7 linked regions of the Xenopus tropicalis genome follow. The protein of the gene in region 1 interacts with the protein of each later gene in a pairwise test. Links are inferred from orthologs where the notes say so. Each region holds a gene or a part of one and is shown on either strand. Other genes may lie near its edges.

The links.
Region 2: the proteins of fsd2 (region 1) and brd8 interact in binary tests that used the Homo sapiens proteins (3 or more experiments, as listed by UniProt). The two-hybrid records come from large-scale screens. The link is inferred for Xenopus tropicalis from reciprocal best matches to the Homo sapiens genes FSD2 and BRD8.
Region 3: the proteins of fsd2 (region 1) and pbx3 interact in a two-hybrid assay, tested with the Homo sapiens proteins (3 studies listed by BioGRID and IntAct). The two-hybrid records come from large-scale screens. The link is inferred for Xenopus tropicalis from reciprocal best matches to the Homo sapiens genes FSD2 and PBX3.
Region 4: the proteins of fsd2 (region 1) and esd interact in binary tests that used the Homo sapiens proteins (3 or more experiments, as listed by UniProt). The two-hybrid records come from large-scale screens. The link is inferred for Xenopus tropicalis from reciprocal best matches to the Homo sapiens genes FSD2 and ESD.
Region 5: the proteins of fsd2 (region 1) and cdc73 interact in binary tests that used the Homo sapiens proteins (3 or more experiments, as listed by UniProt). The two-hybrid records come from large-scale screens. The link is inferred for Xenopus tropicalis from reciprocal best matches to the Homo sapiens genes FSD2 and CDC73.
Region 6: the proteins of fsd2 (region 1) and leng1 interact in binary tests that used the Homo sapiens proteins (3 or more experiments, as listed by UniProt). The two-hybrid records come from large-scale screens. The link is inferred for Xenopus tropicalis from reciprocal best matches to the Homo sapiens genes FSD2 and LENG1.
Region 7: the proteins of fsd2 (region 1) and coro1a interact in binary tests that used the Homo sapiens proteins (3 or more experiments, as listed by UniProt). The two-hybrid records come from large-scale screens. The link is inferred for Xenopus tropicalis from reciprocal best matches to the Homo sapiens genes FSD2 and CORO1A.

The regions. Positions count from the first base shown.
Region 1 is NC_030679.2:105,256,613-105,260,873, reverse strand, and holds the start of fsd2 (fibronectin type III and SPRY domain-containing protein 2), read left to right. Parts: upstream 1-1,461; 5' UTR 1,462-1,653; intron 1,654-4,261.
Region 2 is NC_030679.2:47,838,773-47,842,980, reverse strand, and holds the start of brd8 (bromodomain-containing protein 8), read left to right. Parts: upstream 1-1,408; 5' UTR 1,409-1,497; coding exon 1,498-1,516; intron 1,517-2,932; coding exon 2,933-3,029; intron 3,030-3,930; coding exon 3,931-4,000; intron 4,001-4,208. UniProt on the Homo sapiens protein: May act as a coactivator during transcriptional activation by hormone-activated nuclear receptors (NR). Isoform 2 stimulates transcriptional activation by AR/DHTR, ESR1/NR3A1, RXRA/NR2B1 and THRB/ERBA2.
Region 3 is NC_030684.2:27,662,741-27,666,789, reverse strand, and holds the start of pbx3 (pre-B-cell leukemia transcription factor 3), read left to right. Parts: upstream 1-1,249; 5' UTR 1,250-1,394; intron 1,395-1,448; exon of another isoform or gene 1,449-2,077; 5' UTR 2,078-3,064; coding exon 3,065-3,261; intron 3,262-4,049. UniProt on the Homo sapiens protein: Transcriptional activator that binds the sequence 5'-ATCAATCAA-3'.
Region 4 is NC_030678.2:134,606,982-134,610,954, reverse strand, and holds the start of esd (S-formylglutathione hydrolase), read left to right. Parts: upstream 1-1,173; 5' UTR 1,174-1,241; exon of another isoform or gene 1,242-1,367; intron 1,368-3,973.
Region 5 is NC_030680.2:113,580,043-113,584,192, forward strand, and holds the start of cdc73 (parafibromin), read right to left. Parts: upstream 2,801-4,150; 5' UTR 2,791-2,800; coding exon 2,660-2,790; intron 1-2,659.
Region 6 is NC_030683.2:104,890,749-104,894,258, forward strand, and holds leng1 (leukocyte receptor cluster member 1), read left to right. Parts: upstream 1-1,379; 5' UTR 1,380-1,412; coding exon 1,413-1,544; intron 1,545-1,897; coding exon 1,898-2,083; intron 2,084-2,217; coding exon 2,218-2,474; intron 2,475-2,734; coding exon 2,735-2,942; 3' UTR 2,943-3,010; downstream 3,011-3,510.
Region 7 is NC_030685.2:2,354,822-2,359,007, forward strand, and holds the start of coro1a (coronin-1A), read right to left. Parts: upstream 2,801-4,186; 5' UTR 2,726-2,800; intron 1,285-2,725; 5' UTR 1,277-1,284; coding exon 1,079-1,276; intron 1-1,078. UniProt on the Homo sapiens protein: May be a crucial component of the cytoskeleton of highly motile cells, functioning both in the invagination of large pieces of plasma membrane, as well as in forming protrusions of the plasma membrane involved in cell locomotion.

The sequences.
Region 1 (4,261 bases):
AACAAATCTTCAATATCGCGGGTGACTAATCTCCCTGCAATGCCATCCCACCGGCAAGAATGTAAATCGCAGTTGGGATGGCATACACGTTGCTACGATTTCCCAAAGTTGCCTTTCAAGGAAACATCGGGCAACTTCGTGAAATCTTAGCCACGCGTATGCCATCCCACCTGCGATTTACATTCTTGCCGGTGGGATGGCATTGGGGGAGATTATTCGCCCGCGGTAACAAAGATTTGTTGCAGACTGCATTTCAGAAAATAAAGCAGCATATGATCTAGGAGCAAGCTGTTGTGATATTTCTGCCACATGTTATTTTTGCCACCTGCCACTGCCCTTATGGTTTTAGGATCTCTGAGAAAATTTCAAATATGGGTCTTGCACACAATGTAAATTGCATTACAATGTTCAATAATCGTAGTCAATGTTAGTAATATTGATCAATCTGGCTATTTTATACGATGCCCCTGTGGCCTTGTATATATCCAAGCAAAACTACAAGTATGTGATCAGTCAGATTTTACAACATAGATCTATTGTTAAATTTTGTTTGTTGTGCTGGAATAGGTTGCAAAGTGACAACAAGTTGGTGACTGTACAAACATACTTAAATGCAGAGGTATTTATTTCTTCAATTTTTTTTTTGTTCTGTTTATTTCAGGGGTGATTCTATGACATGAGCCTTTCTGAGATGGGTCTTGAGATGCTGCCCCCACCTTCACCCCCCAGCAATTACCTTTCTTGCACTGGAAGTAGTCTTTGGGGTGCCAGATTGCTAGAGTGCAATTGCACTATAAGAGCTGAATTTCTAGTGCAATAAGTAGGAAATTAGGCTTATAAGATTACCAGGAGCAGATTTTGCCACTCCTGGTAATTACTGGGGCATTGCAGTCTGAGGCAAATTTCTTACTTGCCTCATGGCAGCGTCCCTGTTTTTTTTCTATATTTATATAGAAATTCTTTTTTTTTTACATGCTGTAATTTCCTCCCCTTTTGGGATCTATTAAATGATACTCAGTGTGTGCTGGTCTGTAGACTACAATGGGACCTAAGTTTTTTCTGTATAATATCTATATCATGTGACTGTAATATGTGACTTGACGTGCTATGAAGCTTTGGTAGGCTAATCAGACATTTGCAACTTGATAAAGGGAGTGGATTCTTCAGAAACTTTAACGTCTGGAGCTTGTTTATTACTGTTGTGTGATTTTGTGCAAAGAATAACAGTAATGCTTTGTTGCACTCTCTATATGATTTAAGGGTGTTGATTACCTCTACTGCCATGGATTTACTACTTCAGTGGTGCTGCCATAGGAAATCTTTATAGATATATATATATATATGTGTGTGTGTGTGTGTTAAATATATGTAACAGCTTGCATTTGTCCAGCTCTTGCTCTGACATGTTTGAGACATTCCCGGGCACAAATCTCTGCTTCTTCCCTCTGATACATGAGCAGGGTTAGCAGGGGAAGGACAGCTGGGGGAGATTCTATATTTGTCAGTCTCTCTCACTGCATGGACATTAGTATTTCAGGGCACTTTGTCTAAAATTACTGCTGGCCTTTTCAAGCCTCAGTCCCAGGGACACATCGGCGAATCTACTGTATGTGATTATATATTTTATCAGCAGCGTAGAATCTGGATCAGCAGGTAAATCTTCACAAGTACCATGTATCTTTGTGTGTCCCAGGCTACTTCAGCCTGTGTGTGTAATTTACTGTACAATAATGACTTACTATAGTTTGATAACCCTCTCTAGTAAAATCTAGTAAAATTACTGTTATTATTGGCTGGCCTGTGAAAAAATATGTCAGAATCCAGAGGTCTAATTTTAGCTCATAATTTTACAGTCCTTTATTGATTTACGCTCTGTAACATTTTCCGGTTACATATGATTATGTAAGTGTGAGAACTGTTTCTCTTGTGTCTAACCAACAGAATCTTATATATTGAAATTTCAGCATATAATATTTTAAAAAGTTGTCTTGGGCTATTCTGTGTTGTTCGATTTGTGTAACACAATCAGTGAAGGTAACTGTGCTGTCCAGGGTTACAGATTCAACTCTCAATCTCAGTGTGCACCCCCACCAAAGGTGTAAAACATGTAACCATAAATACTTAAACAAAGCCACTGAGAGAGAGCAGTGCAGTGCTTGCTGCTGAAAAGTGCATTAATTACACAGTGTTACACAGATTTGTGTAACACTGTGTGGCCTGTATTTGAATTCCAATCAGTTCTGAATTATGGCTTTATATTTTTATAAAGAGCAACTAATGCCCTAACTACAGTCAAGGTGCCCATACACTATAAGATCCGCTCGCTTGGCGATGTCGCCAAGCGAGCGGATCTTCACCCTATATCCCCACCTACGGGTGGCGATATCGGGTAGCAAGGGACTTAAAAAAAAATAACATTTGAGTTTATGGGGCAGTCGGTTCGGGGACGGCATCAACGAGCCGATGCGGTCCCCGATCCGACTGGATTTTCTAACCTGGCCGATCGAGATCTGGCCAATTTCAGGCCAGATCTCGGTCGGCCAGGCTGCTCTGTTCTGCCCATACACGGGCCGATTAGCTGCCGAATCGGTCCAAGGGAACGATATCGGCAGCTATAGTCGGCCCGTGTATGGGGGCCTTTATTTTATTTCTACGTTATTTCTTATGAGGATCATGTAACAATTCTGCCATGTTTAATCTGGTTGCTGAAAGGCCCAGTCTATGGATGGCAAATATATAGTATTTATTGTATACCCTACAAGTTACCTTTTTATATAGGATTAGTTTTACCTGCAGTGTATGTCACAGTATCTACTTTTGCAACCCAAGATTTGATATAGAATTTGTTTTAACTATTACATTACTATTACTATGTCTTTTAAATGGGATCATATTGATCAAGCCTAAACTGCAAAGCCCATTCTATGTTCTGATGAAAGAGAAGCTATAAAGTCAGATAAAATTTTCATAATATAGAATTTGGTGTCACCCAAACAACTACTGTATATTATAGTCAGAGATTGTGCTGCATACATACAGTTACAATAAGATATACACTGCTTAGATGAGCTATATTTTATATTTTGACACCTGGCACTCTGGTGAAGTGCACCACTTTAATATGGGTCAAGTATGTCTGCAAGTGCAGTGGCACATCTATATGTTGGGCACAACTATATGGACGTGCAAGAAGAGTATTTTGAAGAAAGTACCTTAATGAATTGGGTTTAATGTGCAACTCAGTGTGGAAAAAAGGGAGTACAACTGTGCTTGCAGTTCTAAATGGCTCCTAAGGACTAGTTATGCCCCTGAAATGCTGTGCTTTGCCTGAATGACCTATACATGTTATCTATAGCGCAATTAGCGCAATTAATTATCGATAGTCTATTTAACAAGTAAGGATATATTTTACAGGTTAGGGCTCTGGCACACAAATCTCCCTGTTCGCGGGCGACTAATCTCCCCGAAATGCCATCCCACCGGCGAAAATGTAAATCGGCGGTGGGATGACATACGCGATTTCCCTGAAATCGTGGAAGTTTCCTCTCAAGGCAACTTCCACGATTTCAGGGAAATCGCGTCAGGGAAATTGGCATTTCGGGGAGATTAGTCGCCCGCAAACAGGGAGATTTGTCGCGGGCGACTAATCTCCCCGTGTACCAGAGCCCTTATTCTAAGATTTGCTTATTACAGTGGTCATTTACTTATTGAATGATTGTTACTGCTGCAGATTACCGCACAATCTGTTGTGTAAAAAAATCCTATTTATTATATTTCAAGGGTATTGTGAAGGCCCCACTCTGGCAGGCTTGTGCTTGGATTCCTTTAACTCACTGTTGTGTCATTGTTGGAACACTGTTGTGTGTGCATTTTGATACTCTTGATACCTTTGATCCTTTTGATTCTCTGTTTCCTCATGTTTTGCCTTCTAAAGGGTATATTTATAACCTTACCTGTTGCTCAAACTTCTGTTTAGAGGATCTACTAAAACTCTTCCTGCTACTCTGCTTTTTCTCTCAACTGATCTGCATAGTTTTTTTTTTCTGCTCTGACCTGGGGTTGGCCTTGAGTACATGGTTTGGGTTATATCCACCTTTCCATCTCTTATATCACCCTGAGTTGTATTGGGTCTCTGCTGGTGCCAGAGCTCCTCAATACCTGTTGAATTGAGCCTAAATAGGTGGAGATGATTCAACTGAAAAATATATTTTCAAAACTACATCTTCAAGGGGTCTACCGTTTTATAAACTTCTAGCAAATA
Region 2 (4,208 bases), about 57 Mb from region 1:
GTTGCAACAAGTTAAGAGTCAAAGAGACAAGAGGATGGAGGTCCCAATCTAGATGGGAGGGTAACTTATAGACACAAATAGGCAAATATAAGTGCTGTAGGTCACAGCTGGTGACATTACAATATAAGTGCTAGTTTCCAGATCAGGTGCTGTGTGAGTGCTCCAAAAGGTAGTCTATAAGTTTAGTTTTAAAAAGACTGAGGGAGGATTCTCTCCATCTCCGCATTCCAAATGTAAGGGGCAGCAAGGCAGAAAGGTTTAAGGCAGTAGAAGTGGGGGGTGCAACCAAGTGGTTGCTCTGTGAGGAACGAAGGAGTCAGCCAGGAACGTATGGAAACACAAGAGAACAGATGTAGTGAGGACCAGAGGAATGGAGGGCTTTGACGGTTAAAAGAAGGAATCTGCAAGATATTCTTTGTTTAGGCTAATGCCAGACGAGGCGTAGGGTGGATATTTTCAGCAAGCGGAAAACACTTGCTGAAAATTCTGCCCCACGCCTCCTACATGTGCCTGCACCCGAATGAATGGAATATGCTCGGGTGCAGGCACATGTAGGAGGCGTAGGGCGGAATTTTCAGCAAGCGCTTTTCCGCTTGCCGAAAATATCCGCCCTACGCCTCGTCTGGCATTAGCCTTAATGGGAAGCCATGATAAGGGCTTTAGCATTGGAAGGGCCTGAACTCTCCTGGATGAGAGGAGAATTCTGGCAGCAGTATTTAATACAAACTGAAGGGGGGAAAGATGGGAGTTAGGGAGGCTGGTTAGTAGCAGGTTATAGTCGTCAAGTCAGGATAGGATGAGAGCATGCAAGAGCAGCCTAGCTGTTGCAATAGAAAGGAATGGATTTTGGCAATATTGCATTAGAAAAAGTGACAGGTTTAGACAGTGGTGTTAATATGGTCAGAGTCGGAGTCAAAGATGTGTAGGAGCCGCAAAGAAACAAGGCCATATTGTTTCATTGGTTAAACTGTAATTTGTATACCTTAACTATTATATTTCATTATTTAATATCAGTTGTACCATATATATATGTCACATTATATCATATTTTTTGCCATTACTGTGCTATTGCATCATACATAAAAAATCTGTGGCTTTGGGTGTTAAATCATATTCGACATTAAAAATATTTCTAGTTGGTTTAAAGATATTGATAAATGTAATTCAAATTAAAAGAGACATGTATCTGTTCTTTGGTTGTAAACAATGCTACATTTTCTCATAAGTAAAAGCAAAATAAATAATAAAAGTAATATTTTGACTGATGGCTAAATTATTGCGATCGGGTACAGCTAATTATAGAGCTGTTTGACCCGACGTACTGCTATTTTGCGGCATCTTGTGTTCCCCTTCATCAATAGGAAGATCGGCGCACCACTCCAGATCTAGCAACCAACCACAATAACAAAACTTCCCGCCATGCTATTCGACGAGATCACAGGCCCAGCGTGCTTAGTAGTTATCGTGAGAGTTTGATGTTCTGTTGTGGTTGAGAAGATGGCTGCCGGGACTGGAAGTGAGTTTAGAAAGCTTACAAATGCTTTTAATAGCAATATTCGTTGTATGTGTATACCGAAACGCGCGAATCGATTTTGTCCTGGTGGAGCAATTTTATTTTTTTTTTCCTAATAGCGTACTGTTATATATATACCTAAATTATAAGTCTACACTAGTGTGTTTTTAGAGGATGCTCCGTTCATTTAATCATGTTGTGTGTATATGAATATGTAGTGTTGCAGATCCTCTGCCCTTGTTTTGGTGGGACTACACATCCTAGCATCCCAGAGCAGGAGGATATGGCTTCCTATTATCGAGACTAAGCGCTTCTTGTTCCTTTCTTCCAGTGGGGCTTCTTAGTTTAGATTTTTTTTTTAAATAGCCAATTTAAGTAAAAAAGGCAGCTTTGTTGAATTCACAACATCTGCTCCAGGTGTACCAGCCCCATGTATATCAACATCAAAAATGGAGTTGGGCACTCAAAAAAACCTTGGACATCAAGTTATTTCTTAAAAACAACAACAAAAAACATCTTTATTGACATAACATCTCTATTGCCTAATGCATTTTGTGCTTCCCAAGAACAAAGTCATAGGCTAACCACAGAAATTTCTTAATGAAAAGAGTAGCCAAAAAGTATATATGGTTCTTTTTCCTCATTCCAAATAGCAAGTTCAAACAAACCAGCAGTCCACTGAGAAGCCCACTAAGAATACAGTGGCATCTTAGCAGGCTGCTGGTTTTCTGCGCTTTGGGATCAGGAAGCAGAATTTAACTTTTTTCATTTTCAAATTTGCTTCTGAGGAAGTGGCATGCTAGCCACGAAACGCATCAAGCTGTATGGGTGAGAACGCTCTTCTATGCTTTTTATGTTTTTAATGAAATGGAAATAAATACATGTTTTTACTAACTTGTTGCCCGGCGCTCCGCTTCTATTTCTACTTTCTCCCTCAAATTTTGCCATGATTAGAGCAAGAAATAACAAATACTATAGATATTTCCTAGTTCAAAAAATAGGCAAAAAGTATGTAAGCCCTTTTTATTGAACCCAGGTGAAAAAAGGGGCATCTGAAAGCTTTCTAGCTTGCTTTAGTAAATAAGTCTAGACCAGATAAGCAAAACGTCCTTCAGTAATGATTAAGGCATTAAATCCACAATATGGTGTAAAATATGAGTTAATAACTTGTTTGATGTAGGAATGCACTGAATCCATGATTTGGTTTGGGATTCGTCCAAGATTCAGCCTTTTTCAACAGGATTTGGCTAAATCCATGCTCCTGGCCGACAAATTAAAAGTCTTAAAATCAAACATTTTGTCCCATAAACACGCACGTGGTTTAGCCTTCCGGTTCAGTTTTCATTGTGCAGCCTAACAACATTTGTTTGACAAATTCCTACCAGCACTATTTGATTCAGTTCCCTTTTCTCCCATCAGAACACAAGCTGTTGAATATTGGTCCAACAGAACCATGGTCTATTCGGGAGAAACTTTGTCTTGCTTCTTCAGTAATGCGGAGTGGCGACCAGAACTGGTGAGGAATTTAATTGTTACCGTTTTAGTGATGCATATACAGTATTATTGCTAGTGTATTCAACGGGGCACAAGGCAGTTTTGGGTTGTCACCTGGCTGGTATTTCACCAACCTTGTCAGTAAAATGCTAACCCAGAGTGGGTATAAATTACTTGCCTTTACACAACCAGCCTGCCCCTATTCCCAGCTTGGAATTTTTTTTTTTCATTTACTTATAGGGATACTGTCATGATTTTTATGGTGTGCTTCTTGAGAAAAAAAATACAGTTTACATAGCAAATAATTCTCTCTACCATTTACAATTTTATTCTTGAACCAACAAATGTGTTTTTTTTAGCTGTAATATTGTTTCTCCTACTTCCATGTAACTGGAGGAGTCACAAGCCAGACTTGGATTTCTTACTATTGAGTACTATTCTGATATCTACTGGGAGCTGCTATCTTGCTCCCTTCCCATTGTTCTGCTGATTGGGTGCTGGGGAGGGGGGGTGTGACTGAAGTTTATCAGAGCACAGGTCACATGACTGTAGCACCCTGGGAGATGAAGAATATGTGAAATTTCAAAATTAAATCTAAAAAAATCTGTATTTGAAAAATGGATTTCAATCCAGGAATCTGCTGGTGAAGTTCTATTAACAGATGCATTTTGAAAAAAAACATGTTTTCCCATAACGGTGTTTCCTAAGAAATTTCTTTCCGTCGGCCCCCCAGTCTGCCCCTTTTACATCACCATCCATCCCCTTTCTTATCTGCTTGCTATGAAAAAACCCATGTACACATGATATTAGGTTTGTCAACACTTAATTGTGTCTTGCATACTGCACACATCTTTTACCTGTTTTTGTGATATTTATTGTATTTCATGGTTTTAATGCAGACTCTCTGCTTTTATTGTGATCAGGGTATCAGTGAGTCGTGCCATCAAGCCCTTTGCAGAGCCAGGTCGCCCTCCTGATTGGTTTTCTCAAAAGGTATAAAAGAAAAAACTCTTGTGAACTGGTATTTGAACATATTATACCATAGAACCACATATCATACTGTAATGCATATAGTGAAATTGTCAGTATGGGTATGGACTAAAGCTCCACCCCCTTAAATACACTGAGCCTTTTTTCTCCTTTGAGTAGGCATCTGTTAAAAAGGGCTTTTTGACTGGTTTCCTGTTCAAAGGAGAACAGG
Region 3 (4,049 bases), on another chromosome or scaffold:
TATGTGACTAGCCTTATTGCTCAAAAATACTTTTCGCTGGGGTACCTCATTAACTTTCATCTACCAATGTGGAAAAGCAAACTACTGGATAGGGTTCAATATAGCCACCTATACATGCAGGCAACTTGCTTACAATTCTGTTGTTCAACTAGGGCTGGGCGGTATGACCAAACATTTTTCAAAATTATATCGGTGTCACGGTATTTGACGGTATTTTTTTTTTCCATGCATGATTAGGTGTTAACCCCATTTCCTAATAAATTAGAGAATAATTACTGCAGTATTGAAAATCAGAGTCAGGCAAGCGAAGGATCGGCAACAGAAAGTCGTAAGGTAAATCAGGCAGGCTTAGTTTCCCAGGCAAGGCCGCAGACAACATAGCACAGGAGGAGGAGTTTGATAGCTTTAAATATCCCCCACGCATGCGCAGGACCGGCGCCATCAGCGCATCATGGACGTGCACGCTTTGATATGTACGTGCGCTTTGACGCACGCGCACCTGGACGCCTGTGCGCAATGTCCCGCAGACAACGGGCCGCACGGGTGAGTACCCTGACACCCCGGTATTGCGGTATCTGAAAAATGAATATAGTTTAAAAAAAACAACACCGGTATTCGGTATTAAACGGTATATCGCCCAGCCCTATGTTCAACACTACCTTACCATTAGCCTGGGTTGAGTTTTGGAGCCAATGGTAATTGCAGCGGCTAAAACTGACATAACTAGCCAGACGATGTCCAGCAAAGTTGGCCAAAATATGGCAGCCATGGTTGGACATTGGGGGGGGACCCCCTGCCTAGATAGGAGATACTTGAGACCTACCAATGTAAGTGCCTAAGCAGCCTTATTAGTTCCAATGAGAGCATAAAATGTAAGCTTTTCTACTACTCTCTTCCTTCTCTCACCATTTATACCTTGTTTTGTTTGAAAAAAAAATAACATTATGCAACATAACCAGGTAACATGTTGTTTATATATCCTTCATACCAGGTGGGCCTGCAGGATACTCACGCTTAACTAAACTCCAAAAACCCTGTTCAACGACAACTTTTACCCGAGTTGGGCAGCCACTTTCCTCACTGAGAAGCAACGAGAGCGGAGCTGATGCTGCCCTTTCTCCTCACTCGCAGCATCCCTCAATCTCCCGCCCTGCCCGCTGCCATGGAAACCAGAGGAGGACCAGCCGCCCAATCCCCGCCCACTAAAGAAAAATGACCGTATGAGTATGAACATTCCAATTCACGAATCATAAAGTGTTTGGACCGGCGGGAACACTACGCGGCGGCAACCTACCTTGCTCTCACCTTCACCGGCTAACGATGATAGGAAGAAGAGCAAAGTTCAGACAGGCCATTGGTTACCTGTCACACCTCGCATAGCAACGGCGGCAAAGGTGCGTCGCAGCGCCCTAGCAACCGCCAAACCCGCGCCATTTCTCCGAGGCGAGTGGGGAGCGGGCGGGGGATAGAAGGAGAGTGGGGAGAAGCGACAATAGCGCCGCCCTTTGCCCCTCCCCCTTTCCTTTCTCGGGGCCCCGCACACGGGGAGGAGGAGCCTACCTCCATTATTTATATTTTGTCTCCCTTTTTATTTCCTCCCCTCCTTCAAAGTCTGACACGTCCGCAGTGAGTGAGTGGCGTTGGCAGCCTGTCAATCCGTCACCGGAGCCGGCAAGAGCGAAATAGCGGGGGAAGCAGCCATAAATCCCGCCCGGGAGTCCCGGCACCGGCCCCTCCATCCATCTCTTCCCCTCAGCTCCCCTTAGCCGCCGCCGCCGCCGAGAAGGGGAAAAAAAACTTTTTTTGATTGCTGCTCTGAGCCACCATCATCATCATCATCATCTTCCCCACACCGGGCACCTTAACCATTTCTATCTTATTACTCCCATTAATAGCTCAAGCTGCTGCTGCTTCTTCTCCCCCCACCCCTGGGCACAACTTTCATTTAGATTTTCTATACAAATATTTAATTTTGTAGTTTTCTTTTATTTATTTTTTTTTTTTACTACTGATTTGATGTTGGACACGACCCTGCAAAGGAGCTACCATCAGTCACTGATTTATTTATTTCTCTTAGAAAGGAGAATACTACCGGAGCAGCCGGAGATTGGCAGCGCTCGCTCAGAGAAGTGGATGAAGGATTGACTGGAAAACCCTGGTCCGAAATCAAAAAAAAAAATCAAAAGGGATCAATAAATGACCATCGTGGACATTGCTGAAAACGCGTTGATCTTTTCATCAAAATAGTCTGAATGTAATTCATTTCTATGCTGGCCAAAATGCATGGATGGGATAAGCACCGAATAGAAACTTGATTTTTTTTTTTTTTTTAATAATAAAACACGACTGGAACTGCTGTGAAGGAACATGTGTCACTAGTACTTATAGTGACGTAGAGGTTTGTGCTACATTTGAACATCTTTGTAGCAGATTTATTTTCCTCATTTGGAATGCATTGTTGGAATTGAAAAGAATTGAAATAAAGACTGAATTTACAGCAGCTCGTAATACTTCAAGAACTCAGAACCAGGTGCTCACTTGTTATTCTATTGAAAACTTAACACTATGTGAAAGGAGTAAACACAAATCATGCCTCTGCTGTGTGTGCCGTCATTTTGGAGTAAACTCTGACTGACCTGTCATTACCTGAAGATTAAAATACAGACAGAAGAAGATGCTGACTTTCATTTGCAACTTTTAATATGCCCCCTTTTCTCGTCCACGTTTTCTTGGAATAAAAAAAAAAAGAAACTTGACCTCTTCAGAAAGAGCATTTTTAAAATAAAAAGATTTTAGCTGCTGAAGGCGATCGCACCTGTAATACATTTTTATGAAACCCTACATGTTGTGGTTCTGATATTTGGATGGTATTTACATTGGTGGGATGAAATACTATCACAGACCTTGATTTAAAACTGCTCTGTCCATAGAGACTGGGTATCTGGTTGGATTCTGACGGTTGACGTTGTTGATGTGTGGGGCAGTAACCCCACAGCGGTGCTATCACTGGCTGTGAGGTCTCCTTGCAGTCTGTGTTGTCATTGATTAGGCTGCGGAGAAGAGTATGGACGAACAGACCAGGATGATGCAGACTTTGGCTGGGGTGGCCATGGCTGGCCACTCGGTTCAAGGGGGAATGACTTTACCTCCTCCCCATGGTCACGATGGGGGAGATGGTGACGGCAGGAAGCAGGACATTGGAGACATCCTGCACCAGATTATGACCATAACTGATCAAAGCTTGGATGAGGCACAAGCAAAGTTGGTTTCCACTGCAATAAAAACACACACACACACATCACCCCTTTCCCTCCCAACACATCACAGCAGCACATCACTCCAGTTCATCTTGGAGTGAACAACTTCTTACAAGCTGTTTGTCAAATAAACCAGCACATGTTTGGGTAGCGATGAGCAGTGTCTGAGATGCTGCTCGAAGCTGCTTGCATGGGGGTGAGATGATGCCCACGCTAGCAAACTGATATAAACACAGCTCGCAGCTATAACCAGGCTCTTGTTTATTTGTATGTAGAGATTCTCCCCTGGTGCTTGTAAATGTAGCTTCCAGGACCCCTCCAGTCCTTTCTCTTTCTGCCAGTGGGGTTGACACTGTCCCTATATATGGGGGAAAAACAATCATTATAAATAAATGTGGTTATGATGGAAATTACTAGTCTTTTACTGGCCTATGTATTAACAGAGTGTTTCCTATAAATGCCTCTTTAGGTTTATTCATTTCTCAACAAAAAAAGGCATACCATTTTCTGGTTCTAATCCATATATTGTCTATTAATTATAGATCTACTTCCAGGGCCACGTAAATATTTCTTTTCAAGCGCCTTTTAGGGGGAGTGTTATAAATTGGCATGTGTATGTGTATATATGGACACGCACATCAAGGAAAATGTTTATGTAGTCATTAATTGCTACCCAACTGCTGCTTAGTTCCTGACAATATGTGTGTGGGGGTATATATCTATATATATATATATATATATATATATATATATATATATATATTGAGATTTGATGTTATGAGTACAGTGTAC
Region 4 (3,973 bases), on another chromosome or scaffold:
TATATTGGTCGGGTAGGTCCTTCGGAGTGCCCCATACACAGGCAGATAAGATGCCAACTCAAACTGATGGAGCCAAATCCAATGCTAAATTGTGCCCTTGTATGGTAACTTTAAGTTAAAGTTTATCCTATCATGTGGGAAACAGTTCTAGATAATACAGTTAAAAGACTGCACCAACTGCATTTCATTTAAACCCAATCAATGCATCCCAGCAATTATTAGGTGTCCCTGATTTTTCCGACATTCTTTTAAGTGCAAGTTTTTTCTCTTTGATCACTGCTCTGAGCATCAGTTAAGCAAGGAGGCTCTGTTTATCTTTCCACCTTGTAATGCTTTTGCTTGTCTTCAAACCTAATTTAAGATTTCCACAACCTACTGACTATGCAGCCTAGGGGAGAAGGAGAGTCAGTTATATGCAGGCATAATTTACATTTGGTGCCAATAATGGCAGAAAATACTTGCAGGCAAAACTTCACACCTCCCAAATGTCAGTCACCCAGGTTCAGATTCTGATGTTAATGCACTTTATGTATTGTCCAGCAGCAGCAAATGTCAGATACACAACATTCCACTGAATGAGGCATACATGTCTGGGCCCCAGCAGGAGCCAGGATGAAGGGACTAAGCTTGTTGGCATGCTGGTTTAGCTAACCATGTAAAAGCCAGCTATTTAATAGGGAAAGAGGCAAAACACTTACACAGTCACACTTTCCGTTGGCAATGCAACTAACTGCTTGGCTATTTCAGGAATAATAATGGCCTGCACAAACACACCATTTGACAGCAATAAGCGCTGCTGGGGCATGTTGTGGCTAGCTAAACAATGAACTGTTTCAGAAAATCTAAATTAAAAATACCGTAATTCCTATTTTCAGTATTCTATTTTTAAAAAGACATTTTTGAGAAAAAGAGGCTTGGAACCTCTCATTAACTCCTGCAGAGATTTGAACTTCTCTGTGGGGCCAGCGGCTTTGTAACCTACTCTGGGCACATTTGCTTGGTGGAACTTTCCCCTAAAACACCTGACCCGATTAATGACAAAGAAGCAAGCTGCTGGCTTTTAAGTTGCGGAAATAGTACAACCCAGACTAAGCAAATTCGCCTAAAACAGAGAAATCTTAAATTGCGCCCATTCATCCTCCAGCCTGAAGGGGTCAGTGCAGAGCAGACTCGGCTCCAGGCTGACTCGGGAGCACAGAGGACTGGGCAGTTGTGGGAAAGTGTGTAGCTGCAGCAGCCAGGTATGTAATGTCACTGACAGGAAAAGGAAAATAAGAACCTTTGGGGCGAAAGTTGGCAAGAAATCAAACTCTGGTGCTAATACGGCAAAGTCAGGAGAACGCCACCTCTCCTGTAAGAGACCTTAAGGCGGGTAGTTAATAGATGTCATTGTGTTTAGAGTTGTTAATCAGACCGTGTGCCTATGCACACACACCGTGACACTGACATAACCCGCAGCCTCCTGCCCGCCATTAGCAGCGTCTTTATATTAGCGGGAGCGAGTCGCAAGTTGTACGTGCCCGGCGGGAGGGGGTGTGTCGGTACGGGGCTACATGCAGCCAATGGGCGGCTGGGATATAAGCAGGGCTCTCCGCGCTAAACATAGCTGGCTGTACGGTGCCCCGTATCCCTGTAACTGGATGTAGCGCAGCCTCTGACAACTTCAATATGCTGCGTGCCCACCCTCCTGTCACAGTAATATGAGATACAGCTATCGCACCCACTGGCGTCTCTCTGCTCAAATATAGCCTCACAAGCCCCGCCCACTCTCACAATTCTCTTCCCTCCCTGCACTAATCGCTTCGTCTGTATTTAGAGGGCGGGATAATCAATGGCAGCCAATAGATGTTTCCTTTTAGCCAATCACGTCTATGCAAGAATATAATAGAATGTATATTACAGTAAGGGGAACTTGCTCCTGAAACTGAGTTTTAATATTGTTGGAAAATTTGCACTTGTTGGAAGTAAGGCTCTTATGCATTCCGTTCCATTGCATTTGTGCTGTGTAAGGTTGCCATCTGACTGTGGCCAGTGCTGGGCTGAGAGAGACAGGTGCCTTTGGCTACCCAGTCTGTAGGGTTGCCACCTTTTCTGGCCAGCCTACATTTTTATGCTTTTTCCTATTAATAACATTGGCATCAAGCATAATTTTTACCAGCCAGGTGGCAACCCTACCAGCCAACCATCTTGCTCCCCAGATGAGCACACGTGGCACGGGGAACTGGAAGGCCTGATCTAGGGGTAGGCAGATGAGGTATGTTCCTAGCATTCCCCCCTCACCCAGGCCTGAATTTGTAGCGAGGCCATAAAGGCCCGGACCTGGGTCGTCATGCCGCTAATCTGCACATAAAATCTGCTCACATGCAGAGCACAAGGGATGGGAAGTGCAGAAATGTCCTGTCCCCAGTGCTCTGTATGAGAGCAAAAAGGATGCAGGTGTGGTTCAATCCTGTGGGGGCCTCTGGCTGCCCCAAACAGAAACCCGCCACTACCTCACCCACCGTGTAACCCTCGCACATGCTTCTTCTGTCAACCCCTAGTTTTGGCCCTGGGTGGTATTTGGTATTACAAATTTACCAGCAATGCAGTTGTTGGCCCGGTGGTTTATCTATAGAGGAAGCAGACCTCGCTGGGGGGGACAGTGGGGCCCTGTGGTCTGATTCCTCTATAGCTGATAAGAATTCCCCCCTCCCCAGCCACTCTCCTACCTGCCGATGGGGAGATGTCAACGGTGGCTCTGAAAGTACGGGTGGCAGATTGGGGCATGGATCACTGTGCGCCAGACCCCTCCGAAGATTTTTTGCAGGAGGGCCTGGATACGCTAGTCATGGCACTGCCCTGGCCCGCCCCAGATCTGCTTTACCTATTCCCTGATCTATTTATAATCTGTCCTCTAACTGTATGTAATATCATAGCTCCACAACTTTTTTTCATCACTCCACCTCCTTGTGTCACTGTTCTGCCATTTTTACATCATAAACTTACCTTTGTTTGCCACCCCCCCCCCCCCCCCCCCCATTTTAGACAGCAAATACATTTGATGAGGAAGAAAGTCAAGTTTCACAGATTCACTATGACATTTTTTCGTCCGTACTGGAGGAGATTTAGCACAACGACACAACTTATTGTATGCCACATTACCTTTATCAAGTGCGATTCCAAGCCAGACCATTGCAGGCATAGGCAACTTGTAGTACTCCATGGGGCATTTAGTAGCATGCTATAGGTCCTAGTGCTACTGCCAGTAGGAATAGATCAGCAATTATTTTAATCAGTCTACTGCGTGATAGAAAATGTAAGCGAATTGCTGGTTGAAATGGGCAACCTATTCATGCAGTTGCGCACCTATATTAATAAATCAGCCCCAATATTTTATAACAACTCTCAACATTCATTTACATAGTTACATAGGGTTGAAAAAATACCAGAGTCCATCAAGTTCAACCCTTCCAAGTAAAGCCAGCACACACAACCTATACTTACCAATCTATTATTAACACATACATAAACTATATATACAAACATCAATACTAACTGTAGATATTAGTATCACAATAGCCTTGGATATTCTGCTTGTTCAAGAACTCATCCAGGCCCCTCTTAAAGGCATTAACAGAATCTGCCATTACCACATCACTAGGAAGGGCATTCCACAACCTCACTGCCCTCACCGTGAAAAACCACCTACGCTGCTTCAAATGGAAGCTCCGTTCCTCTAATCTAAGGCTGATGCCAGATGAGGCGTTTTTACCCTGCGTATTTTCTAATTCTCTCGGTGGCTGAAAAACGCACAATATCATCATCCATAGAAATAACTTAAACAGTCTCGATGGAAAACACACTATGCGTAAATACGCTAGAAAACGCATTACCACGGACTTTTCATGCGTTTGCCAAAATACGCCGTTATTTGCACAGCAACCTATTCCTATGTATACACAAAGGCAGCGTCCAGACCTTGCGGAAATACGCA
Region 5 (4,150 bases), on another chromosome or scaffold:
AACGCTGCATATTTCCTCAAGGTCTGGCAGCTGCTTTTGTGTACACAAAGGAATAGGTTGCTGTGCAAATAACGGCGTATTTCGGCAAACGCATGAAAATTCCGTGGTGACACGTTTTCTAGCGTATTTCTAGCATCGAGACTGTTTAAGTTATTTCTATGGATGATGATATTGTGCGTTTTTCAACCGCCGAGAGAATTAGAAAATACGCAGCGTAAAACCGCCACGTGTGGCATCAGCCTTAACCTCTCTTTCTGTTTCTAATTGTATAGGTGGGTTACCTCTCAGAGTCTGTTATATACCAATTGGTAGTTTTAAAGCAGTATTTTAACTTTCAGTGCATGTGGAATTATACTAATAAAAGATTCCCATGTTTCAAAAATGTTTTTGACTGCTTTGTGTTTATTCAAGTACGCCTCTATCCAATCCATGTGGGAAGGGGGGGTCCCTGACCCATACTTTCCATCCATGCTCTTTTTAGGAAAAAATAAAATAAAACCAGCCAGGGGGAAAAAGTAATGCAGCAACACAGCCAGGTTACCAGCATTTCCCAGCTGTCCCTCTTCAGACATAGCCTTTGAAATGTTCAGGTATGGACCCATTATCTGGAAACCAGTTATACGGAAAGGCCATCTCCCATCAACTCCATTTTAAGGAAAGAACTTACATTTTAAAAATTTTATATTTCCTTTTGCTCTGTTTCTTGTACTTGATCCCAACTAAGATAATTTATCCTTAATGGAGGCAAAACAATCCAATTGGCTTAATTTAATTTATAAATGATTTTTAAGTAAAATATGAGGATGCAAATTACGGAAAAACCCCAGGTCCTGAGCATTCTGGATAACGGGTCCCATACCTGTACAACAGAGTAAAAGTTTTTAATTGTGCTCCACTGCACTTGCATGGGCTTAAAGGAGAACTAAAGTTTGAGAAGTAGAGCAGAAATGCAGCACATTATGTTTTGTGCTTCTGTACCAACACAAGGCAACAACAGCCATTCAGCTTGGAGGATCTGTCCCCCGAAATATACCTACAGTAGCTCCCCATCTTCCTTCTGCTGACGCACTGCACATGCTCTGTGCTGAACTAACTTACAAAACAGTGCATGTACACAGTATAAATGTCACAATAATACAGATTATTAGTACAGGGCAGCTCTGATACCAGTGCAATGTGCATCAGTATGTAATAATCAACCCTGCAGCATCAGCTTCTATGACAGGCAAAACACATTTTCTGCTCAAAAATTTGTAACAACCACTAAGCTTAGCTTATCAACAGAACAGCTGCTCTGAGAACACAGAGTATGTGCAGTGTTACTGACACTTCTAACAATCTAAAATTGGGAGCTCCTGTGCACAATTTTGAAGTCCTCAATAATAACTACTACTACAGAAACGCTAACCCTTTAGGGGTGTTCAATAAGTTCAATATATAAAGTATGACATTTTAAATTATATCTATTTGAAAAGTGCTATAAGGAATCGTACTGCCTGTAGCATGTATTGCCTTTATAGTCACCAATAAAAAGATGTTTAAAAAAAAAATAAAATAAAGCATTTCTATATATATTAATTTTTGAGTTCTTGTTTAAATCTGTGCTTGGGACACCTGGGTCAGGGTAGGTGGCTGCATTGTGTTGTGCTCTTTCTCCAAGGTAAAAAAAAAGTAGGGCTTTAATTCCCTGATGGGTGCCTCACATATTGGCATCCATGAGTAAATTCGCCTTTTCCAATTCCCAAATACCTAAAAATTATCCTAACTACACAAAAGGACTATGTTTTTGATAATGTGAACTTCCCCTTTAATCTGGGCTGGGGAGGACTAACTTGCATGAAAAAAGCACCTGTACAGCTTTTCAAAATCTCATTACTTTTACATACATAAAAATAATACTATTGTGTAACTGTATCCTTCTGATGTTACCTTTCTATGCAAACATGAAAGCATAAATACTATGTGTGCAGGCCAGAGATGCTGCCTGACTAAAGCTCCCACAATCCTAAGCATCTATTAAAGCTTTACACTTGCTGGGATTTGTAGTTCAGTAAGTTGTGGGGAGGCACATTTAGTCACAATGGATACATACAGACACAGATAGTAAGAGGAGGAAGGTATGGATGTACAGCATGTGTGAATAGTAATGTAACGATATAAATAAGAGGCAATGCCAGGAGTCTATTTGCCCAAGTGGGGAGAGTGTGCCATACACATATAGTCAGTAGTGATTTCAGGGACTTTGTGCAGCTCTCAGCAGCACTTGGGCAGAATAAGGTTGTCCTGGGATTCTGGGAGTTGTAGTACAGTGATCGCTGCCGAGTTGGGCGCTACAGAAACCTATGCCGAACTCCTATGGGTGGGATTCTACTTTTGCTCATAAACGGCAGCTGCCACAGTCCCTCAAAACTTCGACAGAATTTGGGGATGCTGGGAGCTGTAGTTGCACAGGCACCACGAGTTACAGGTTGGAGTTACCTGGATAAATCTGTCTGTGCTTGGCCCGGGGCCAGTGCAGTGTGTGTGTGTGTGTGTGTGTGTGTGTGTGTGTGTGTGTGTGTGTGTATGTGTGTGTGTGTGTTGCACATGCCTAGTGAGCACCCAAACAGGGGAAGGACAGAATGACAGCGATTGCTCCCCGCTTCTGCGCCATACTCACCCCCAAATGACATAGTTGGTCTTAACATTCTTGGGCCAGGAGAACTCCCCGAAGATAACCTCATCTCCTTTCACATTGATCTCCTTCTTTTGGATGTTGTACTGACGCAGAACGCTCAGCACGTCCGCCATCTTCTTCTTCTCCTCCTCCGCCTCCTCACTACTCCCGAGGATGCGTACAACCTACTGGTGGTGTTGCTTAAGCGAAAGCCTGTTCCGACAACAGCAAGGACCCAGGAGGGCCAAGCTGCCCTATGTAATGCCTGCTCAGATCTCACACAGGACCAAAGAGCCAAGCGAGCCGGAACCATCTACAACAAGGACGCAAACGCGAGAGGTGTCCCAGGAAATGCCTGCTCAGAATGCAGGCCATACGCATGCGCAAAAGCAATCCATCTCTTGCATGTTGGTATGCCCGTCTGTAGGTATTGGTAACTAGGTAGTGTAAACAACTCTGCCAGTTTGTGAAAACCAAACGGTGTATTTGTTTTGGGCCTCCAGTATTATTGGGTGCAATGGGTAAAATCTGGGGGTAAAAGCAAAATAGAAGTATTATTTGATCAACAAGGGCACATTAAAAAAAGAAAATCATTCTTTTTAAAATGAAATTCTTATTTAACAATTGCACCTTATTTCCATGTATATACTTTTTATGCCTAGGAGTATGGGATGTGCAAAAGATATAGCAATTAGGGTAGGGATGTGCAAAATGACTAAAAATTATATTTATAGAAATGTGCATAGCAAGAGAATGGCAGCTGGTATGGGGTGATGTACTGTTGTTTTATATTCCCACCACAACAGAACAAATTAAGATCAATCAATTATTTAACCTATTTGATCATCTTACTGCAAGTTTTTAAGGACAATTAAAGGTAGAACTTCATGTTTGTAGATATACAGGCCGGTATTTGTGGCAAGGCCATGAAGATTAGGCCTAGGGCAGCACACATTCAGGGCCGGCATGCCGCCCAAGCCACACATGAAGTTTACTTACATGCAGGGCACTGGGGATTATGCACGGGAGGTTTCCATGCACCCTGTCCCCTGTGCGCCAGATGTAGGACGCGACCCTGTGGGAGGGGTGGGGGGAAGCTGAGGATGCTAGCCTCTGAGTGCCTAAAGAGAAATCCAGTCCTGTAGATATAATTACAGTTTCTTGTACAATTGTTTCATGCCATACAATACATGGCTTCAGAGAACACCCCTACATACTTTCTGGATCCTCTACTGCAGTGTTCCCCAACCAGTGGCTCCTGAGCAACATGTTGCTCCCAAACCCCTTGGATGTTGCTCCCAGTGTCCTCAAAGCAGGTGCTTATTTTTTAATTCCTGACTTGGAGGCTGTCAGTCTACATAGGGGCTACCAAATAACCAGTCACAGCCCTTATTTGCTATCCCCAAGTACATTTTTCATGCTTGTGTTGCTCCCCAACTCTTTTTATATTTGAATGTGACTCATAGGTAAAAGAGGTTGTGTACCTGCTCTACT
Region 6 (3,510 bases), on another chromosome or scaffold:
AGGAACAAAGAACAGGAAGTCAGAGTTACACAGATCAGCTGGGATTCTCATTGGAGAATTTTTTTTGCATTTTAATGCAGCCACTGGCCCTGGAGATTTGGGGAAAGGTTTTGGAAATGTTTCAATATTGCTTTAAGAATACAACCCCTGATGTTACTGGACTACAGCTCACCCTTCATTATATGTTAAATTGTTCTGGGATTTGTAGTCCAGGAACAACTGAGTAAAGTTTGGTTGAGCAGTGCTGCAGGCTTTAGTGTACCTTTAAACCAGGGGTCCCCAACCTTTTTTACTCATAAGCCACAGTCAAACGTAAAAAGACTTGGAGAGCAACACAAGCACCATAAAAGTTCATGGAGGAGCCAAATAAGTGCTGTGATTGGCTATTAGGCAGCCTCTATGCACACTATCAGCTTACAGGAGGCTTTATTTGGTAGTAAATCTTGTTTTTATTCAACAAAAACTTGACAACAAGTCAGGAATTCAAAAATAACTACCTGGTTTGGGGGCACTGAGAGCAACATCCACGGGGTTGGGGAGCAACATGGTTGGAGATCACTGCTTTAAACCCTCCCATCATCCACAGTTTAGGAACAAAAAAGAAGTGGAACCCTTGTGCCACTGCCATTGTTTCTTATTTGAACTCCTTCCTTCCTAAAATGGTGCAGGAGTAGGAAGTCTTGTCCCAAATCAGCCCTTGTTTTGTCCATTAATTGCAAACAATCTGGTTTCCACAGTCTGCACATCAGACGCTTATTCCTGCCCCGGCACTGTGGATATAAAAAAAGAAAAATCAATTCACAGCCTACAATTAAGTGCTTGGTAAGTATGAATGGTGCCTACAGTAGCTCTTAGTTCTCTTGTTTGCACAAATATACTAGCATTCTCCCATGCCATGAAAAAAATCCTAAAAACTCAAGATTAGTTTTGGTTTATTTCATCCATTTTAATTCTTCTAAATTAGCCCTTGTTTTAAACTGTTTCTACATTTCTCCCATCCCTAGTTTCCCCTCTTTCCTTTCTGGTCAAATTGAGAAAATTATTTTATTTGTTCCCTGGCCCAAGCTAAAACTAAACAAAGCAAAAAAAAATGTTTTTTTTAAATGAAAATCATAAAGACTGGGAACGCAGTGACTTTTCCCTGTCAGAAGTAGGCGCTACAAGCAAAGACAATTACAATAGCAAGCGGACTCAAGTGACATGCCACAACCAACAGCTTATCCTTATGTGACACGGACGTACTCCCGCCCCCAAAGGTTCGTACGTACCACGCCCCCGCGCTTACGTTATGCGGCGTGACGCAACGATCTCGCGAGATGAGATTTGTGACGTCTGGATTTGTGTCCGGAAGGAATCACGGAGTTGAAAGTTAAAGCAGGATTATTTGGTGGAATTGTGACAGGACAGTTGCCATGAATATCCTGCCTAAGAAGAGCTGGCATGTGCGTAATAAGGATAACGTGGCCCGCGTTAGGAAGGACGAGGCACAGGCTGCGGAAGAGGAGCGAGTGCGTAGGAAACGGGTGGAACTCGCAGAACAAGAGGTGAGAGTAGCGCTGCAGTGAAACTATAGACCCCGGCTCTAAAGGCACACTAGGCCTTATATACTACAGAGGCAAAAATGTGCATGTTGCACACAGAGAGCGATTGCGCCTGTTTCTTGCATCAAGCTCACATTGCGCATATCTCTGTAAAGGCGCGGAATGGTATACCGTTTGACACTGGCCTTGTGGTCAAATGTTCTCCATGGGGCAGTGGTTCAACTGTAATACTCTTGGCATCTCCAGTAGATCTACATTATTCTTTGGTACTCAGTCATGGAGACACTGCTGCCAGAGGGTGCCAGGTACATTAGACGGAAGGTGTCTTGGTTGCACATGTGTGTTTGCCGTTTCAGGCTCGGACAGATTTCCTGCGTAAGAAGGCTCGTCTCTCCTTGCCAGAAGAGTACAGGAGTGATGGGACTTCCTCGGTGGAACTCACCAAGGATTCTGGCCACATCAACTTTTTTCAAGAAGTGGAGGAGGGCAAAGGAACAAACAAAGGCAACAAAGAATATGAAGAGGAGAAACGTAAAGAAAAGGTCTGTTATTTTACTTTACTGCAGGAGAGGCTGTGTGTTTTGACAACTTTTCCCTTACTGTATTTTAAATTATTTGTATTTAACTTGATTTCTTAGGTGGGTTTTGCTTTGTTTTTTATGGATAATTTACACAGGAGCGGCAAGAAAAAACCCTGGGCATTCTTACATATTTAGGACAAAGTGCTGCAGAAGCCCAAACCAGTCGCCCATGGTACCAGGAAGTCCCTGGTCGCCACTGTAAGGCCGAAGATGGCAACGCAAAGGATGAAAAGGTGAAAAACCTGTTAGATCCTTTACATGACATGGAGAAATACTTGCAGAAGAAATCTGGAGAAAAGAAGAAATTTAAAGAAGAAAAGCAAAACAAACATAAATCCAGGCAAGAAAGCAGGTAGGTTAGACAAAATTGGAATTTGCTGCTAGTCTACAGGTATTCCTGCTGCTTTAATTAGAAGCCCATGGATCCCAGTGCTCAATTAAATCCACTGCCTTTGTCTCTCTAGTTCTTTTGTTCTGTGCTGAATGAGCTAACTCACAATGTAAATATTTGGCAGAAGTAGTAATGTAGGCAATGTCTCCAGCCTCTAGAAAGTTTGGTCTTGGTAGGAGTGTGCTGCATGATTTAGAGTGATTTGTTTCTTTGTCTTGTAGACCCACCAAGCCATCAATAGAGCAACTAAGGCAGGAACGTCTCAAGAGAGAGGCAGCAGAGAGAGCTCGGGCTGAAGCCTTGCTATCAGGGAGAAAGGAGTCTGCAGAACCAGAACAAGAAATGGATGACCGAACACGCCGTTACAATTCTCAGTTCAACCCACAGCTGGCACGAAAACCTAAAATGCGAGAAGAGCCACAGCGGTGATGTTAAAGAAACTAATGGCAATATTTCTACATCTCATAGCTCTGATAATAAAATGTATATATTTCCAAGTTGCTGTAGAATGTCCTAATGCACTTGGGTTAATGGACCACAAGCCCCTACAAAATGCCAGACGTCTGCACTGAGTAGCAGGACAGGAGAGGATTACCCATTTTTAAACCACACAGGTGTGATAGAAAGTAAATTCTACATAGGTTGTACAGCAGTGCTTACATACACCAAGGCTTTTTCTTGGTTGCAATTATATAAAACTGGATTCCTGTAATTGGTGCTCTACTTTATACCAGGCAGAAAAATCATTCTAGAACAGGAGTTTTCCTTATGCCTGTTTCTACATGAGATTAAAGAAAATGTTGTTTGATACAAGGAAGATTAATCATGAAACAAAAGCACTGGGGAAAAACATGAAGTGTCAGGTTATTGCCAAAACAGTCACATAATTTGGATTGTGAACTACACAGGGATAGAGAGGTCTGGCATGTTTAGTGATTACTGTCTTTTCAACAATGAAATCTCTCAAACATAAGTATACATTTTCAGAAATATGCTT
Region 7 (4,186 bases), on another chromosome or scaffold:
AAGCTCAAACAGGACAAACTTCTGCCTGCACTAAGCTCAAACAGGACAAACCTCAGCCTGCACTAAGCTCAAACAGGACAAACCTCTGCCTGCACTAAGCTCAAACAGGACAAACCTCTGCCTGCACTAAGCTCAAACAGGACAAACCTCTGCCTGCACTAAGCTCAAACAGGACAAACCTCAGCCTGCACTAAGCTCAAATAGGACAAACCTCAGCCTGCACTAAGCTCAAACAGGACAAACCTCTGCCTGGACTTAGCTCAAACAGGACAAACCTCAGCCTGCACTAAGCTCAAATAGGACAAACCTCTGCCTGCACTAAGCTCAAACAGGACAAACCTCTGCCTGCACTAGGCTCAAACAGGACAAACCTCTCCCTGCACTAAGCTCAAACAGGACAAACCTCAGCCTGCACTAAGCTCAAACAGGACAAACCTCAGCCTGCACTAAGCTCAAACAGGACAAACCTCAGCCTGCGGGACACTTGGTGTCTCCCTCATTTATTTTAGGGTGAACACCTATAAATTCTGGGAGGATGAGCTCTCAAGCAGACAGCAATAGTTCCTGAAAGCACAGGAAGTGGACTGAGCGTGCTATATTTCTTCCCCCCCTCAGCTGGGCTCTAAGTTCTCACTGTGCCACAGTATAAATCCTCTCTCCGGGGCTGTTTGGTGTCGGCGCACGTCCCTCTCTGCCTGTGAGTGTCTACTTCGCACCTGCACCTCCCGCCCTCAGCATCCTGTAGCAACCACATCCTGCCGCTCTGTGCTCAGCCACTCACACGTGCACGCCCCCCGCTCCTACTCACCCCCCAGTACTCACCTGCTCCCCTCACAACCTACCCACTCACTATAGTGTTCTACAAATTTCCCACTGCACTCACACTGACAGCTCACTCACCCTCATCCCTGCTCACTCACATGCCAATAACTCACTTACCCCTCCCCCTCCCCCAATATTTAGTATTCCCTCACTCACTTCCTGCCTCTCTCACTCACTAACAACAATGTGCCCCACTCAGCTCCTGGGTGAGTGCTTGCTCAGTTTTCTCCCCTACCTGTACAGGTGAGTGACTCACCTTAGAGAGAGGCAGAACCATGAAGGCGCCCCCCCCGCTGGCCTCCACCACGATGGCCAGGAACTTGGGATTGACGCAGCAGAAGTTGGAGTCCCAGGTGTTCTGGGAGACGCGGATGTCGTCGTAACATTGGTCGGCTTTCACGGCTTGGCCAAAAACATGGCGGAACTTACTGGTGCGCACAACCTTCCTGCTCATGGTGCGGCCTGCGGGGGGGAGAGAGGATCATGGGAAAAATGAGGGGAATCAAATGCAATAGGGGCAAGAGGAAATATAGCGCAGAGCGTAGGGGTGCAAATGAGTGGGGCAAGTAGACTGGGGTGAGTGAGGCAGGAGAGTGAGGTAGTGAGTGAGGCAGGAGAGTGAGTGAGGCAGGAGAGTGAGTGAGGCAGTGAGTGGTACATGGGGGGTAAGAGTGGGAGTATATGCCACAGAGTGCGGCACCCAGAGAGTGAGTGTGAGTGAGTGCAGAAGGGATGAAAGTGAGGGAGGCAAGAGTGTCAGTAAGTGAGGGGCAACAGGGGGATTGAGGGGGGAGACTGAGAGGAAAGGTGGGGAGAGAGTGAGTGAGTGAGGTGGAAAAAGTGAGTGGGAGACGGTGATGGCAGGGTGAGAGGAGAGAGTGAGTGAGTGAAAGGGAAGAGAGTGAGTGAGTGAAGGGGAAGAGAGTGAGTGAGTGAAGGGGAAGAGAGTGAGTGAGTGAGTGAGTGAAGAGGAAGAGAGTGAGTGAGTGAAGGGGAAGAGAGTGAGTGAGTGAATGGGAAGAGAGTGAGTGAGTGAGTGAGTGAGTGAAGGGGAAGAGAGTGAGTGAGTGAAGGGGAAGAGAGTGAGTGAAGGGGAAGAGAGTGAGTGAGTGAAGGGGAAGAGAGTGAGTGAGTGAAGGGGAAGAGAGTGAGTGAGTGAAGGGGAAGAGAGTGAGTGAGTGAAGGGGAAGAGAGTGAGTTATGGGGTGAAAGTGAATGAGAGGGAGTCAGAGGGTGGGAGAGAGTGTGAGTGAGTGCATGAATGAGTGTGAGAGTGAGTGACAGAGGAAGGTGAGTGAGAGGAAATATAGGGGAGAAGAGTGACCCCGTGTCCAACCCTCATTTTGTGCCCCATTTGGGGTGTGAATTACTTTCCTACCCCAGCCTGGGGCATGATGAGCTTCTACTGCCCTTCCTGATTAACCCCTTCCTGCTCAGACCTGTGACCGGATTAACCCTCTCAGCCCCGTCTGCCCTGATTAACCTTTCACTGTCCCACTCTGTGCCCTGATTAACCTTCTCAGCCCCGTCTGTGCCCTGATTAACGCTCTCAGCCCCATCTGTGCCCTGATTAACCCTCTCAGCCCCATCTGTACCCTGATTAACCCTCACTTTCCCCAGTCTGTGCCCTGATTAACCTTTCACTGCCCCAGTCTGTGCCCTGATTAACCTTTCACTGCCCCAGTCTGTGCCTTGATTAACCCTCACATGCCCCAGTCTGTGCCTTGATTAACCCTCACATGCCCCAGTCTGTGCTTTGATTAACCCTCACATGCCCCAGTCTGTGCCCTAATTAACCCTCATTTGCCCCAGTCTTTGCCCTGATTAATGCACTTCTGCCCTGATTAACCCCCTCCTGCACAAGCCTGTGCCCTGATTAACCCTCTCCTGCCCCAGACTGTACCTGTGGGTCCCGGTGCTGTGGGTCAGATGCTCAGAGCCAGTCACTTCCTGCCCTCTCGCTCTCGCTCGCTCTCTCTCTGTCTCTCTCACAAGTTCTTCTTTTCTAAAAGATTCTCGGCAAGAGACAGGGGGTGGGCAGGAAACTAGGGCTGCACCCTTCCCTCATATCCAGCACAGGAGGGGTTAATAGCGCAATCATCTGCAGCACCCTTGCAGTTTGTTAAGGCAAAAAACCCAGGGCCGGGGAGCACCAATAGGGTGATGTTTTATGTACAAAGGGGTTAATGGGGCAATGCCCTTGGCAATAAGGGGTTAAAGGGGTTCTGCACTGAAATGAAAGTATCAATGGACTCATAGTCTGTAGATCACTGGCAGGAAGGAGTTAATAGACAGGGGCCTGATACTGGGAGAGGGGCCGCATATAAGCACTGGGCAGGAAAGGGTTAATAACTGCTGCAGAGAGAGTGATGGTGGGTGCATGGAACATCAAGGGGTTAAAGGGAAAATAGCCCCAACTCTGTATCACCCTTCTTAACCCTATCTGCCCCTACTAACCTCTATCTGCCCCATGTCATCTCTGCCCCTTCTTATGTCTATATGCCCCTACTAACCTCTATCTGCCCCATGTCATCTCTGCCCCTTCTTATGTCTATATGCCCCTACTAATCTCTATCTGCCCCATGTCATCTCTGCCCCTACTAATCTCTATCTGCCCCATGTCATCTCTGCCCCTACTTATGTCTATCTGCCCCTACTAATCTCTATCTGCCCCTACTAATCTCTATCTGCCCCATGTCATCTCTGCCCCTTCTTATGTCTATCTGCCCCTACTAATCTCTATCTGCCCCATGTCATCTCTGCCCCTACTTATGTCTATCTGCCCCTACTAATCTCTATCTGCCCCATGTCATCTCTGCCCCTACTTATGTCTATCTACCCCTACTAACCTCTATCTGCCCCATGTCATCTCTGCCCCTTCTTATGTCTATCTGCCCCTACTAACCTCTATCTGCCCCATGTCATCTCTGCCCCTACTTATGTCTATCTGCCCCTACTAATCTCTATCTGCCCCATGTCATCTCTGCCCCTACTTGTGTCTATCTGCCCCTACTAATCTCTATCTGCCCCATGTCATCTCTGCCCCTTCTTATGTCTATCTGCCCCTACTAATCTCTATCTGCCCCATGTCATCTCTGCCCCTACTTATGTCTATCTGCCCCTACTAACCTCTATCTGCCCCATGTCATCTCTGCCCCTACTTATGTCTATCTGCCCCTACTAACCTCTATCTGCCCCATGTCATCTCTGCCCCTACTTATGTCTATCTGCCCCTACTAACCTCTATCTGCCCCATGTCATCTCTGCCCCTACTTATGTCTATCTGCCCCTACTTATGTCTATCTGCCCCCACGCATCTTTATCTGCCCCTTGTCATCTCTATATCCCCGAATGCCCCATATCT